2 linked regions of the Medicago truncatula genome follow. The protein of the gene in region 2 interacts with the protein of the main gene of each other region in a pairwise test. Links are inferred from orthologs where the notes say so. Each region holds a gene or a part of one and is shown on either strand. Other genes may lie near its edges.

Region 1 (8,423 bases), on a different chromosome or scaffold from region 2:
TTGGATCTTACTAACTTGTGCTTGTGCTCTAAAGGCACGTAATAAGGATTTCAAAAGGAGAAATTTTGTATTGATATAACACAATTTTTTAAATTTTAAAAGGGAAATGTTAACCGGCGCACTCGGGGCACTGATTAAGGATATAAAAAGGGAAATTATATACTAGTTAATGCATTGAAATTGTGTGATTAATTTATAAAAAAGATCCCATAAAAAAAGGGTCTTGTTAACGAGTGCCCCCGGGACACTCTTTAAGCATGCTAAATTAGGAAGTTATTATTTAAAAAAGTCAAACAATTCAATTTTTAATATATTATTAAATACATAGATTTTCATAAAAAATTACTATCGTAGGCTCTTAAAGAGTATTTGAAGGCATTCGTTAGCATTTCTTTAAAAAAAAATAAAAAAATGATAGCTGGCTCATTCATACTCTACTCATAGCATACGGTAAATAATGGAATTGATGATTAGAAGATGTGCTATAATCAATCCATTTCATTACTTTGGTCTTTTGGGAAGATAGGTCGATTGTGTGAGTTAATGAGTTTGATATAACTGTTGTGGAAACAAATATCTATCTCATTGTCAGAAATTAGAATGAAAACAGTCACATAGGATTGGACGGCTATGTATGTTGTCATCATTTCCATTTACCCCCACTCATAATTCATTCATCTATAAACCAGTCGTCCATTACCATTTTGATTTTTGAGAGCACTGTTGTTTTACCCAACATAATAAGAGATCACAATTTTCAATTGTTTAAATTGATGAAATACTTTCCTTAAAACTCTGATTACAAAGATTTATTTTTAAGAATTATTAGTATTAAGCTATTGTTATTTCACGGAGTTTATAAAATATTCCGAGATTAATTGATGCTGCTACTATATAGTTATTTTGATTTTTTTTGTCTGTACATGATAAATGTTTAACCGATTCCTCTAGGATACCGGATAAAAAAATAAGAGTTAATATGTCTTTATCCCTGTAATTTGGGCGAGTTTCGATTTATCTTGTAAAAAAAATTTATATTCTAACTCTGTAATTTAAGATTTTCTCGTTTTAGACCATGAGGCCAAATAACTGAACAAAATGCTGACGCGGCATGCTGAGTAGCGCGCTAATTGACGATATCTGATTATATGGCATGTTGACTGTATAATTAATTATGTTTTAATTTTTTTAGGGCACACATGGCATTTTGCCTATTTTTTTTAAAAAAAAAAACTGAAAATTAATTTTTGAAAATAAAAAAATCGTGAAAAAACTGAATTTTCTAAAAAAAATTTAAAAATTCTGGAATTGAAATTAAAAAAATATTCAGATTTTTTTCAAAATAAAAAAAATTAAAATTTTTTCTACCAATTTTTTTTTTAAAATATGAATATAATTTTTTTATAATTCAGATTAAAATATGAAATAAAATTTTGAAAATTATATAATCTGAAAAAAGATCGATTTTATTTTAATTTTTAAAATCTTAATTTCAAATTTTTTTTTTTTTTTGAAAATAAATCTGAATTTGGTTCTGATTTTTCGAATTTTAAAAATTTAAAAAAATAAATTCTGATTTTTTCAATTTTGAAAAAAATAAACTGAATTTTTTTCTATTTTTAAAATTAATTTTCAGTTTTTTTTTTATTTTTGAATTGATATAAATGGAAATAAAAAAATTTAAAACAAAATTAGCTTATATAATCAGCGCGCCACATCATCCAAAAATGTTAACTTAGCGTGCCACGTCATCATGTTTGCACAGTCAAATGGTCTCAGGATCTAAAACGAAAGAATCTTCAAATTATAGGGTCTATTTCAAAAGAATCTTTAAATAACATTGTTGAAAGCTAAACTTTTTTTTTACAGAGAGTAAACCGAAACTCGCCTAAATTACAGGGGTAAAGACACATTAACCCAAAAACAAATATATAAGTATGGTATTGAAAAGTGTAGAAAAGTTGTATATTGACTTTTTAAATAAAGTAGAAAGTGTAAACGAATATGATTTTTTTTAGAGGCCAAAATGGAATATCCTAACCAAACTAAATAAATTTTTCCAGCATAAAATATGTCAGAAACAGACTTAAAGAAAGTTTACAATATGTTATAACACGAAACAAACTTCAAAAAGAGACACAAGACAAGTAACAAGCTAAGAACATGAAGACAACACATATGAAGAGAATTAAGCCGTCAGCCGTGATACACAAACACGAAAGTTGCATATCTTGCTTTCAACCACCAGAAAGACTGATACTTGATTTTGTCACATAACACGTGCAAGCTCTCTTGCTTGTGCTGAAAATTTTGCTTGTTCCTTTCTTTCCAAATAACTTAGACTCATGAGAGCCAAATAAGGTTAAGAGCTAAACTTACTTTCTTTGAGGACCTACCTAAATCTTAAAATTGCAAAAGCTTGATCCAAAAGATAGCCCAGATTTACTGTAACAAATATAAGCTAATCTGAAATGAAGGACCAAATTATGCCAAAAGGTTCACATATAATGAATAAGTGATCCATACAACAGCAAAACTCGCTTTCTTTAGACACGGGGGGCCGGATATAAAAAAAATTATATTGAATGTTGTCTTGATATTTTTATCGTTAATAAGCCTTTTCTTGTTGTTAACTAAGAGATCAAAAGTGTAAAAGTAACGCGAAATACATCTATGAAACTAGTAGATATCTATTAATGTTTTTGTTTCTATTAATTTTTGACAAATAAACTCATTTGTAGTAACTAATTATATATTATCAGGGTAGTTAATTGCTTAATATATCCACTTTATTCAAATACAAAATTATTATTTGGTGTAGCCAAAGCTACCCCATTCCAACACAAGGCTTCGCCCCTGGATCCATATCTTCATTCACATCGCCGCCTCCCACACACTGTTGATCATTACCTTTAAGCACATCCCTTATGAGTAAATCACCTTTGATAGAGAATATGATTTAGAAGAAGATGTCGTGCGAAGAGATTAACTTTGAGAGGAACCAAATTATACGAAAGAACATTTGAGGAATGTGTTGGATTGTCATGATTCACAAAAGTAAAAAATTGATGAGCACCACTAGGAAGTAACATTTGGATAATGTAATAGCCAAACCCATTTGTCCGTCGTACCATCTTGCAAAACAATAAAATTTATTAGCTCACTACACTCCCTCGTCTAACCCTCCTCCCACGTCAACAACTACCTACTCCACTTTCACGTCTCTCCTTCCACTCCCCAACCTAATGAATTCATTTATGAAACAATCACTAGTTTAATTTCAGATAAATCATACAACCTTCTGAACCCAACCTTTAACGTCCCTCCTTCTAACCATAAATCTTGCTAAAATAGTGCAGCGGATCCATTACGTCCTATGTTATCGTCTAACCAACCCACCACCACACACACACACACAATATAATCGACCCCCTTTCTATTTGTAACAGGTCACTAACATCCTATACCACAAATTGTCCTTTTTCTACACATTAATCTCCCTTTATCTTCTAACCCCTAATCCAATCTTTTTGTTATTTAAACAGATTAAGTTCCACCTTTTCTCTGTCTTTGGATTTTGGCATCGGGTTATTGGTGGATCGAGTTTTTGGACAGGTTTAGGTGTATGCTCTGGTGGTTCGTGAGTTGAGGGGTGCTTTTTTGACTTGTGTCGTGAGTCTTGTGGAGGTGTATGCTTTGGACAGGTTTAGGTGTACGCTCTGGTGGTTCGTGACTTTTTTGACAGGTTTAGACCGATAGTAAGGACGTGACATACTTTAAGAGAACTAGACGATCATCTAAACTGACATTTGCATCGGTAGTTATCATAAAACAAGATAAAAGAAATATTGAATAAGTGTATGAAATTTATAGATGTTAAAATATAAAAGCTGTGCGATCAAATCACATTAAAGCGATGTTTTCTTACTCACATTAAAATGATGTTGATTCCAATATCATTGTTCATAAATATCTAAAGCATAAAATTTGATTAAATAAATGCATAACGATTTCATAAAAAATAAAAATTACTTAAAAAATGTCTAAATTCTTTTAGACAGTTTAAACACAAATTATATAATGGGTATGAAAAGATTCTACTTTTATAGTATAATTTACCGTCCTAAACCTCACAGTCATTGACTTTTTGTTGTGTATGGTAATTTTTCACGAAACAAAGTTGTGTTGTCGACAAAGACGACCTTCTAGTTTTTTTTTTGAAATTTTGTTAAGTCAATATAATAATATTTAGTTTCTAATATAACTCTATGTAAATTATTATTAGTAAAAAGGTAGTATTACGTCAAGAAGTGTTTAGCTGACAAGACTGAACGCGTGATTCATATTCGAATCCAGGACCTTACAATTATATGTAAGTTTATTTTTAATGGATCATCACTTCATCTAAGACAATAAAGAAGTAGTTTTACATTTTACGCACATACCAGTATTTTTTTTTTTGTGCGAATAATTTAGTAAATACTACCGGTAAGACTATTTATTTTTGCTGGATTACTACCAATAGTAATACAACCTTAATCCTACCAAAAAAGATGCGGTCCCCACTCACAATTCATCTCGAAAGATAAAATCAAACCATGTAATAACAATCATAAGATTCTCTTCCACACACATTAGAGTTTACAGTACTCACTCATAACTCATAATAAAACCCCATCAAAACCACCACATCCTCACCGTCCATTCCTCTCAAATCTTCAACAAATAATCCAACGGTTCAAACTCACTCATCACTTATCTCCACGCGTCTCCACCACAATCACCAATCACAGAATCCCCTTCACTCCCACCACACGACAACACCTATTTAACCATAGTTACTTTCTAACCTCACCACCGTGTGTGTATGTGTTTACAAGTACAATCACAACACAAACTCCTTATCCTCTCTCTCTCTATCTCTCTCTCTCCTCAAGCACTCTTCAATGGCGACTCAGATCTAACTCATCAAAATCCTCTTCGTACATTTTCGTACCACAACATTCTAGATTCTTCTTCATTCTTCCCACCATCGTCATGCAGCAGCAGCAGAAAGTAGCAGCGTTATCGTACTCATTCCCCGAAGAAGTTCTCGAACATGTCTTCTCATTCATCGACTCAACCAAAGACAGAGGCTCGATCTCTTTAGTATGCAAGTCATGGTACGAGATCGAACGCTGGTGTCGCCGGAGAGTCTTCGTCGGAAACTGTTACGCTATCACACCGGCGATGGTGATAAAACGGTTTCCGAAGGTGAGATCTATTACGCTGAAGGGGAAGCCGCACTTTGCGGATTTCAATTTGGTGCCGGAAGGTTGGGGTGGGTACGTGTGTCCGTGGATCAAAGCTATGGCGGTTGCGTTTCCGTGTTTGGAAGAGATTAAGCTTAAGAGAATGGTGATTAGTGATGATTGTTTGGATTTGATTGCTAAATCGTTTAAGAATTTCAAGGTTTTGGTTCTTATTTCTTGTGAAGGTTTCACTACTGATGGACTTGCTTCCATTGCCGCCAATTGCAGGTTTATTTCCAATTTCTCTCTCATTTTTTATTATTTTTTTTATTTTTAATTTTATTGGATTTAATTTAACTGAAATGAATTCAAAACTATGCTTGCACTATGATGAGTGAAATTAAGAATCCAGAATTGTACTTTGGTAATATACCTTTTTAATAAGGACCTACTTAGGAAATTCAAGTTTTTAGCAATTATAAAGGTATATTTGGTTTTAGTGCTGGAAAATTGTATACTTGTTTTTTGTGAGTTTTTATTGAGACAAGTAAATGTGAATCTGGTAGGATAATTAACTTCATTTTTGTCTGATTTAGGGTCTGTTTGGATTGACTTAGTTGAGCTTATATAATAACATAAGTTAAGTTTTGTGAGAATGGATGGGAGGACTTATGAAAACAATTGTTTATAAACTGATTTTATAAATAAACTGCTTATAGCTTAAAACAGCTTGACTTTATTTTATACTTAAGCGTGCCATTATCATGATAAGCTTGTATAGTATAAGCTGCAAATAAGTTGTTTATCCAAACTGGGCCTAATTGTTTTATGAATGCTAGGGTGCATTTAAAATGTTAAATATGTAAAGGTAAATTTTGGGCTATTGTCTTGTGATGATGAAGGTGGTGTGGAGTCTAAATTTGAAGGTTTGGTCTAGTAAAAAAGATTATGGTTTATGAACTGTTGTGCCTGTTTAAACGTGTCATTGACAAATCTACTGTGTTAATGGTAATTGTAGGAATTTGAGGGAGTTGGACCTGCGGGAGAGTGAAGTGGAGGACATTTGTGGTCATTGGCTAAGCCATTTTCCTGATTCATACACATCCTTGGTTTCTCTGAACATCTCTTGCCTAGCAAACGAGGTGAATTTTCCTGCGCTAGAGCGCCTGGTTAGTAGGTGTCCTAACATGCATACTCTCCGCCTCAATCGTGCTGCACCCCTTGATAAGCTTGCAAACCTTCTCCGTGGGGCTCCACAGCTGGTTGAGTTAGGCACTGGAGCCTACACATCCGAGATGCGGCCGGAGGTCTTTACAAACCTGGCTGCAGCATTTTCTGGGTGCAAGCAAATGAAGGGCTTGTCTGGCTTTTGGGACGTGCTCCCATCATATCTTCCTGCTGTCTATCCTGTATGCTCCAGGCTCACATCACTGAACTTGAGTTATGCTACAATCCAAAGCCCGGATCTTATCAAGCTTGTGGGTCAATGCCAGAGTTTGCAGCGCTTATGGGTATGTCTGGTTTATGTAATGTTTTCAATTAATGCATGGGTATCTTCATATGTTGGTTCACTATACCAAAATTGAAATGTAAATGCTTGCTGATTAAGGTTATTACTAATATGTAGGTTCTGGATTACATAGAAGATGCTGGCCTTGACATGCTTGCTGCATCGTGTAAGGATCTGAGGGAGTTGAGGGTGTTTCCCTCTGACCCATTTGGGTTGGAAGCAAATGTAGCGTTGACAGAGCAGGGCCTTGTTTCTGTGTCTGAAGGTTGCCCCAAGCTCCATTCAGTCCTATATTTTTGTCGTCAAATGACCAATGCTGCCTTAAACACAATAGCTCGGAACAGGCCTAATATGACTCGTTTTAGATTATGTATTATTGAGCCTCGAACTCCTGACTATCTCACCCTTCAATCTCTGGATTCTGGTTTTGGAGCTATTGTTGAACATTGTAAGGATCTTCAGCGCCTTTCCCTTTCAGGGCTTCTCACAGACCGTGTTTTTGAGCATATTGGGACTTATGCGAAGAAGCTTGAGATGCTTTCTGTGGCTTTTGCTGGAGATAGTGATCTGGGACTCCATCACGTGCTGTCTGGGTGTGACAACCTTAGGAAGCTGGAGATCAGGGACTGCCCCTTTGGTGACAAAGCTCTTTTAGCCAACGCTGCAAAGTTGGAGACAATGCGATCCCTTTGGATGTCCTCTTGCTCAGTGAGTTATGGAGCATGTAAACTGTTGGGTCAGAAGTTGCCTAGGCTCAATGTTGAAGTCATTGATGAAAGAGGACCTCCAAATTTAAGGCCAGATAGTAATCCTGTGGAGAAACTATATATATACAGGACTATTTCTGGGCCTAGATTGGACATGCCTGGTTATGTATGGACAATGGAAGATGATTCTGCATATCTTGAATGACTGTACTCCTCAATAATGAACATTTGATGTGTGACTTGGTGATGGCAGGTACAGGCTCAACGTACCCTACAATGAATTTAATCTGTTGACCGTCCTATGCTGCTGTTATGGTTGGTTTCTGAGCTAGGTACAGCAAGGAGGTTATACAGTGTACTTAGAAAGCTTGAGCTCGATTGCCATTCAATTTTTACTTTTGGCTGAGCGACTAGATACCGATTCTGATCACAAATAAAACCGGAAATTTGTTGTTGTATGTGGCATAAGATTGAGTTGTTAAAACTTGTTATATAATTTATTTTCGCCTTTTTATTTCAAGGACTTCTGCATAATTTTTATGCATGATACTTTGGTCGAGTATTAAGATATTGGTGGGCTCATTGTTATTATTGACCTTTGCAAAGGAATAAAATCTGTATTCTAGTACATCATTGTTTGTTGTTTGCAATATTGATTATTTCATGTAATTATGCCCTGGCTTCAACGCATGTGAACAAATGAATGACTCTGCTAGGGAGAAGGTTTTTGAGTTCAATGGAAAAATTCGAGATATTTCAACTGTTTTATCATCTGTAGCTTTGGCTGTGTGCCTGTTGTTAATCAAAATGGACGTTTTAGGCTCGTTCTCTTCACTAATTGAAGTAGTCTTATATTAATTTCAAAAAACCCTGTATTCTGTCTGTTATTGAACTGCGTCAAAGCTTCCTAGACTTTTTCTTTCTTGTGAATAAGATACGTGTAGCCCTGTTACCAAAATCGAATATCTTGAATCC
Region 2 (8,271 bases):
CCAAACATGCATTGACTGAGCAGCTTGCTAGCTAGCTAGCTCTGAGATTGATATATATAATATATATAATGTTGGGTTGCTAGATACCTTGTCCAATTAATCAGGAAATTAAAATACAGTTCATGTGGCACTAGATATATCCACATGTATATATTCTTAGTTTATCAAATAAATAAAAATAAAAAGAGTCTATATATAGATATTGAGAAGGGTAAGGTGTCAATTTGAACATGACATACATATAAGTAGCAAGGCATGTAGTATGTGGTATTAGAAAAAAGGTAGTAGCAAGCAGTTAATATGTATATGGTCCACTTCTCTGCACAGCAATGCAGCTCTGGCATGCCCTCGTGGACAGGACAGAGCAAGTATATTTGTGTCCTTCGTTTATTTTTACTTCGGCATAATACCAACATTACATATTGTTCCACTTCAATGCAATGCTTTTTTTTTTTTTTTTTTTTTTTTAGGGATACTTCAAGAGCAATATTTGTTTGAACATAATTGTATATATATAAATTATTTAAGACATACACAATTGTATATATTAAAAATACTTTAAGAACAATGCTTTTTTATTTTACTGTTTTAGGTTTTTAGTGCATATAAAGTAAATTCTTTTATAATCAAATTATTGAGGTAAAATGGTTAATAAGTTTTACCAAAAGACTGATTGTTCATGTGAACATGAATGAAACATATATAATATATTCAAACAAAATATATTTTTATATTATTATTAATATAAGGTACATTTTGAATTATTTGAGTTTCTTTTTTTTTTTTTGAAAGAGAATTATTTGAGTTTCTAACAAATACAGAACTCTAGGAGCCTCCCCGAGGTTATTATATATAGAACTCAATGGTGGACTTCACCTCTTAATTTTATTAGGCCCTTGTTGAATATAGATAATTGTGTTCTGGCTCTGTTAGAATTTTTATTACAAAGTGTTTCCATGAAAACTATCAAATCCCAAGCAATAACTTATTACAATGTGTTTCGGCTCTCTTAGAATTTTTATCGTATGTTTATTGGAGAAATTTTAGTTTGTTGAAATGGACAAAGAGTAAACATAAAGTCAAAGTTTTGAACGAAAATACAAGAAGATGCAACAATAATCACGGATATGAAAAAACTCTGAATTGCGAAACACATTTGTAGAGCATGACGAGCTTCATCGCACTTCCTATTAATGAGAGTAGTGGAGAAAATGTACTTTTCCCGAACATGTTATATATATGAAGACTTAAATTTGATAGAGTATCAGCCGACGAAGAGCAAATTTAAGGTGTTTGTCGATCCACAACGCACAATCTATCTAACTCACTAAAGTAACTACTACAACCGAGTTTGTCATTGGAGTGGTAGTTACTGAGTGACTACTACTTCAATGACAAAAAAAAAGACTTTGAATGAAAATGACGATCAAATTTTATGGTTGAATACTTAATTTTTGAAGCATACTCCCAACCAAAAACAAACTCCAAGTTTTTTGAACTTTAAGTATACCTTTCATGGTCTTTTAAATCTTTTTTTTTTTTAATTTCAATTCATAATACTTTATATTTTAAGTAATTTTACCTTCGAAAGCATTATATTTCAATTCATTTACTTTCTTGGCCTTTTATCTTTCAAGTTGTTTTTAATTTGATCGTCATTTTCATTCAAGTCTTTTTTTTTTCTTTAGCAATTAGACTTGAAACCGTTTTCAACCTATTTCAACCATAAAATCCAAATCTAATTTAGAGATATTTCAACCTATTTCAAAAACAACCATCAAGCCTATGAGTCTACTTGTTAACTTGTTCGAACTTCTGCGGTCGCACAAAATAAAACAATTAGTGTGTTTTGAATTTTGTTGAATTTCTTTAGACAAAAAAATCGGTTATAAACAATATGATAATAAAAAAGGTGTTGAGATATATATAGAGGGAGGCAAGGTCTTGAGTGATGCAGACACAAGTCAGTAAGTTTCTGAGTATATAGAGAGAGTTTTCTTGGTGTGGGGGTGAAGTGTTTTTTGATTAAGAGAAAAAGTGTCAAGTGTAAAAAAAGTGTTAAGAAAGAAAGAAAACCAGTGTTATTCCAAAAAAGATGTGTGACAGTTTTTTATCTTTGAAAGGGAAGTTACTATTTTTGATGTAGGGTGAAGTGCACAAAAGCCATTATTTTGATGAAACTAAATTTTATTCTTTTGTGATTGAAATGAATAATTTAATTTGACATAAAATAGAGTTTAAATAAATAAAAAAAAGTGTGAATTCGTTAAAGAGTTGGATAAATATAATATAATGTTGTGAAAAACTATTTAATAATACCAATAGTAGTGGGAAGCGGCTGACCACCGTAAGACCACCAGAGTTCCACCTCCAATCATTGTGGGATTGCTGACCGACCACCACCAATGATCGGGTGTCAAATGAGTGCCCTTATGTAGGACGTCCATCTACCATTACTCTTTATTTCTTGTGTCCATCGTAAATATTTGTATTTAGTTTACATATTTTTACTGAATCATTATGCTTGAACACCTTAATTTTCTCAACATTCATATAAGATTTAATTTTCTCTTTATCACTCTCTTTTTATCATATTGCTAACATATCAAATCTATTTAATCACATTTTTTTTCCTTTCTCTCTTAAGATGTTGAATGAATTTGCGGTAAATAATTATGTAACAAATATTTAGTTTACATTAGGATCACCCTCACACAATAAAAAAATAAGGAAATGTTATAAGTTTAAGGAAGTATATTTATCATATTTTCTTCCTAGTGGTGAGCTTAATTTTTTCTTTCATCGAAATTAAATAGTATATATAAATATATATATAAGTTTGATTTTGACTATAATCAAATATTACTACTGAGTTTAGAGTCGTTATCAAGGATTGAATAGAGCATTTGAAAATTTGTCAACCTGTCGGTATGTTAGTCTTTCCCTTTATTGGCATGTAATTTGGCGACAAGAGCTTTTACATATGCGGTGTAAAAGCCTGAGGACTCTCACGTGGGCACTTTGTATTGTGTCCTAAAATTATTTTCCCTTTTTTTTTTTTTATAGAAATTATGTTGTGCATTTATTGAATTTTTTTATTTTATAAAAAAACAAATAAAAATTATAGAGTAGGTAGGATGTCGATTTTCAATATTGTTTTAAAGTTGCCAATAATAAGAATGTTTATTATCTTTATATGTAACCTAGTTGATTACAAATTTCTGTGATTAGCTCTTAATAAAATATTAATAGGGATCTTCAATTCTTACAATATATTTTAATCCCTAGTTGCATTATGTCAAAGAATTTGGATTATATAATGACAAATTAAGGTGAAAAGCAAAATGTATACATCGGTAAATAGGATTTTGCGTTGAATTTGTTATCCTTGTTTACTTTTACAGCTATACGGTCTCAATAATTTATATTTGATGATATGATACTATATACAATTAATTCAGAAAGGAAAATTGACCTATTTTCTGCTAGGGAAGGTGTTGTACGTTTGTCGTTATGCCTGCATTGCCCTTGCATGTGATAAAAACAGAAGCAACTTCACTGTATTTAAGACTAACTAAAAGTACAACTGATAAATTTTTCTCCTACAATTGATAATTCAATGTCTTGTTCAATACAAGGAAAGCTAGCATTTTTGCTAGCCTTATTTGTTTCCATTACATATATATGTCACAAATAATATCAATCGAACTGTCAATTTAATTGTTATTATTATGAGCTAGTTTAGTTCTATGAGAATAGGGTCTCAAAAAAAAAAAAAAAAGTTCTATAATAAGAAACTATATAGATAGCCTCTTCTTAAATGCAAAGAAAATGAAATTGGTTTCTGTGTAGTTAATTTAATTTGCTCACATGAGCTGAAAAGGAACAGTGTCAGCCTCAACTTCAAGTAAAGGAAAAAACTCATGAGGATTCAATCGAATTCTAACCAATAAAAATGTTGAAATAGACTTCCCTTATAAACAACACATAGTGACTGCTTGTTCTCTCTGAAACTTTACAAGGATTTAGATCCATTTCCATGTGCTACTTTGTGGTCCTAAGTCTGTAGAAGATAACTCCCAATAGCATCTATTTTTGAGTACCTCTAAAATACCTTATATGTATATTATCTTGTCATTTTCCACAATTGAAATTTTAAAACGTAACCCTTTTGATATCTTATACACTTAGTGGTATTAAATTTACTTAAAAGTGGAAAAATGCTATTTGGTTGATTTGATTGTTAAATTGAAAAAAAGGAGAAATTGATTGAGAGGTTTGGTCGTGTAATGGGATATGTATATGTATGCAAATATGCAATTTAATTAAAACTTTGAATGACTTGTAATAGGTATTTGATAATTATTGACCACGAAACATCCTTAGAGAGTAAATTAAAGTGATAAACAGGAATCTAATTTTGGATACTCGAAGGGATACAGTACTATAAATATGGTTGGTTAGGGACCAAGATGTTTGTAATTACATTAGAAGAATGTATAGTTGATGTGAAATAAACTAAGCAAAACAAAATGTAAACGCTCTCTAATTAGGTCCATGTATTGAGAGAAGAAGGAAAAGCAAAGGGGCAAAGTTGAAGAGCAAAGGTGAAGAAGAAAAGGCAAAATGAAATGATTACATGAATGAGATGGGACCCAATTGATAATATTTCCTTTCCAGGTCTTTCAATTTTATTTTTTTTTGACTTGGGATCGGGTCCCACTTTGGCCACCATTGTCTTTATGGATTGAATGATAAAAAGAGCACCTCACGTGGAGTCTGAACCAAAGACGCTGTCCAACCATAATCAAAAGGGAACAACACAATACTACTCTACTCTCTTCCTTCCATCACACAAAATTAAATTAAATTCAAACAAAAAAAATATTAGATTTTTTTCTACTTCCAGCTTAAATCTTCATCTTTCCATACAAGCAGAATGATTAAAATCTAAAAATATCTTCATTAAAAATATAAAAAATAAATAAATCCCACTCATCAGTTATAATGAAAAAGCTCATGAACACCACAACTCAAGAAAGCAATTTCTTTTCTGGAAAAAATCATGCTTTTTAAAGCTCACCCATATAATTCCCACTCATTATCTTTGTTGCTTAAAGCTCTTCTCCTCCTTATCTCATCTCTCACTATCTCTCTCTCTCTCTCTCTACTCTTAAACTTAACCACATCAATTCCAAAGCAAATTCCTTCATTTACCTAAACAAAGTAACAAATATAACAACACACCCATATCTCCCCCTCAAAATGAGAACAAAGACCCACCATACATATTAAACTACTATAACCTCACTTATCATACACAACAACACAAGTCTCTCTCATATTCATATATCAAACTCACTTTTATTTTTTTTATTTTTTTTTACTATCCATGCGATCATGGATGGAGGAGATGATCTCCACCACCATCACCACCACCAGCACCATCAACACCACCACCAACACCAACAACAACAAAGACAAAATTTTCCATTTCAACTTCTTGAGAAGAAAGAAGATAACCAAGAAGCAGCATCATGTTCAACTTCTTCTCCATATCCATCCCTAGCAATCTCACCAACAGAACCAAGTACATCAAATTCAAACCGATCCAACCAACTAGTCCCAGCATCAACACCAACAACCTCTGACCCTGCCAACAAAAAACCTCCTCCGAAAAGAACTTCCACCAAAGACCGTCATACCAAAGTAGAAGGCCGTGGCCGCCGCATCCGAATGCCGGCACTTTGTGCTGCTAGAGTTTTTCAGCTTACACGCGAACTTGGCCATAAATCTGATGGTGAAACCATTGAATGGCTTCTTCAACAAGCTGAACCAGCTGTTATAGCCGCCACTGGTACTGGAACTATACCTGCTAACTTCACATCTCTCAATATCTCACTTCGTAGCTCAGGCTCATCCATGTCTGTTCCATCTCAGCTAAGATCTTCTTACTTCAACCCGAATTTCTCACTTCAACAACGAAGAACTCTTTTTCCTGGAATTGGTTTATCTCCTTCAGATAACAACAGCAACAACAACACTTCAATGCTTTTGAATTTCCAATCAAATAACCTAACAAATATGTTGCAGGCTAAACAAGAGGTTCGAGATGGAAACACAAACTCAAACGCTAACGCGAACGCTCCTTCTTCATCAACCACGTTAGATTTATCTGAAACAAGTGGAGAAGAATCCATGGGAGGAAGAAAAAGAAGAACTAGCAGTGGTGGCAGTGAGCAAGATTTATCATCATTACAACATCAAATGGGGAGTTATCTGATGCAATCAAGTGCAGGTTCAATTCCAGCAAGTCATACTCAGATTCCGGCAAATATATGGATGGTTGCAAATTCTAATAACCAAATAATGAGTGGTGGTGATCCTATATGGACTTTTCCGTCAGTGAATAATAGTGCTGCTGCTTTGTATAGAGGAGCAGTTTCAACTAGTGGTTTGCATTTTATGAATTTTCCACAACCTATGGCTTTGTTACCAGGTCAACAATTAGGTAATTCTTCCGGTGGTGGTGGTGGTGGTGGGAATATCAATATGAATATGAATATGAATGAAGGACATTTGAGTATGCTTGCTGGTCTTAGTCCTTATCGTCCGGTTTCCGATCATCATCAACAACACCATCAACCAAGTGGATCACAATCACATCATCATCGCAGTGGTAGCCATGAACACGATGATCGACATGATAATTAATCACAGCTCCTACAAGATCATCATCTTCTGCTTCTTCTTCTTCTTCTTACATTACTTGTCTAGTAGTTTGATTTGATGATGTGTTTAATTTTAACACACACGTGAGGTTTGTTTGATCTTATTCTAAATTGAGTTTTATTGTTTATTAATTATTATTATTATTATTCCCAAAATTAATTTTTTGGTGTGATTAAGATTTTGGAAGAGAGAATGAATGATTCAGGAGAAGTGAAGAGAAAACAAGATAGTATTTTAGGGTTTGGAAGATGAGAGTCACTATTTAATTAACAATTGGGGTATTTGGCTGCCTGCTTTACTTTTTTTGTTCTTTTCCTCTGGCAAAAAAAAAAAATGTGTTCCTTGAATTATTTCAGTTCACTACTGCTACTACAGGATATCTTATCATCATTGTTTGTGCAATTCACTTTTTCTTTTTGAATTTTTTTTACCACGTAGCTAGCTTTTTAATTACATTGCTTTGTATAATTCTATGTTGAAGAGAGATCCAAGAAAGAAAACGACTTACTACTATTTGATTTGATTCCATTACACGACTAGCTGAGTTGAGTTTCCTACCTAACAGGCATTTTTGTTTTCAACATTTATGCTTTTCCTTTTCTTTTTTTCCATCTCTCTTTCTGGGCCACAACAAAGCTCGTGCGGTAAAAGGAATGAAACAGTGTGTTACCCTAAGACTATACTATAGATAAAAAAAAAAAATGTACTAGAACTACTATTAGTAAGTGAAGTGAAGTGTGTTAAATAATGTAAATTTACATTGCTTTTTGATCATTCTGATTCTACTAAATGTGTGACATGAATCAGGAGGTTTACTGCATCAATGATTAAGATTTAGTAAAAGAAAGATGGGATGGGGGGGGGTAATATGGAATAGTACGTAAGTGGGGTCTAAGACCTTATCGGTTTCCAGGTGTTGGCTCAGGTGGTGGGGTATAGCTGCTGGTTATTGCCCAAACCAATGTACAATGTCACTGACAAACAGGTGGATCATTCCCCATCTTCTGTGTTCTTTTTTTTAAAATTTCAATTTTTAAATTAAATGGAGCAGTTGCTGGCATCACAGAAAGAAAGATCCATGGTGAGTCTTAATGACCCTACTCAGATACGGCCCACCATTCCATCAATCAGGACCGTTCTTTTTATGGGCCATACTTTTGATGGTCTTATTGAATGATTGGGTCACCAAAGTGAAAAACGTGGAAGTGGAAATGGAATCTACTCAGTTATTTCATGTCCTTACCAATCCATTTTTGTTAATTACTGTCTCCTCCAAAACGTTTCTAACACGAGTACTTTTTTTCTTCTTTTCTAATGTTAATAATCTGTCTTAATTAGAGTCTTTAATCCACCTCTAAGATATCTATAAAATTTAGATTTTTTACGAGTTTCTTAAACAATACTCTTACGACGTTAGTGTACAAGATTCTTTGATTGAATATTAAGTTGGTAGCGAGATCTTCATTTTGTTTATACGAAAATTAGTCTACACCATCCAACACCATATAAATAACATTTTCAATACTTGTTATTGTGGTA

Evidence for each region.
Region 1: the proteins of transcription factor TCP15 (region 2) and protein TRANSPORT INHIBITOR RESPONSE 1 interact in binary tests that used the Arabidopsis thaliana proteins (3 or more experiments, as listed by UniProt). The link is inferred for Medicago truncatula from reciprocal best matches to the Arabidopsis thaliana genes TCP14 and TIR1.

What each region holds. Positions count from the first base shown.
Region 1 is NC_053042.1:43,739,883-43,748,305, reverse strand, and holds protein TRANSPORT INHIBITOR RESPONSE 1, read left to right. Parts: upstream 1-4,860; 5' UTR 4,861-5,037; coding exon 5,038-5,519; intron 5,520-6,249; coding exon 6,250-6,742; intron 6,743-6,858; coding exon 6,859-7,653; 3' UTR 7,654-8,076; downstream 8,077-8,423. UniProt on the Arabidopsis thaliana protein: Auxin receptor that mediates Aux/IAA proteins proteasomal degradation and auxin-regulated transcription.
Region 2 is NC_053045.1:52,946,503-52,954,773, reverse strand, and holds transcription factor TCP15, read left to right. Parts: upstream 1-4,962; 5' UTR 4,963-5,400; coding exon 5,401-6,714; 3' UTR 6,715-7,122; downstream 7,123-8,271. UniProt on the Arabidopsis thaliana protein: Transcription factor involved the regulation of plant development. Binds to the Up1 elements (5'-GGCCCAWW-3') in early light-induced proteins (ELIPs, e.g.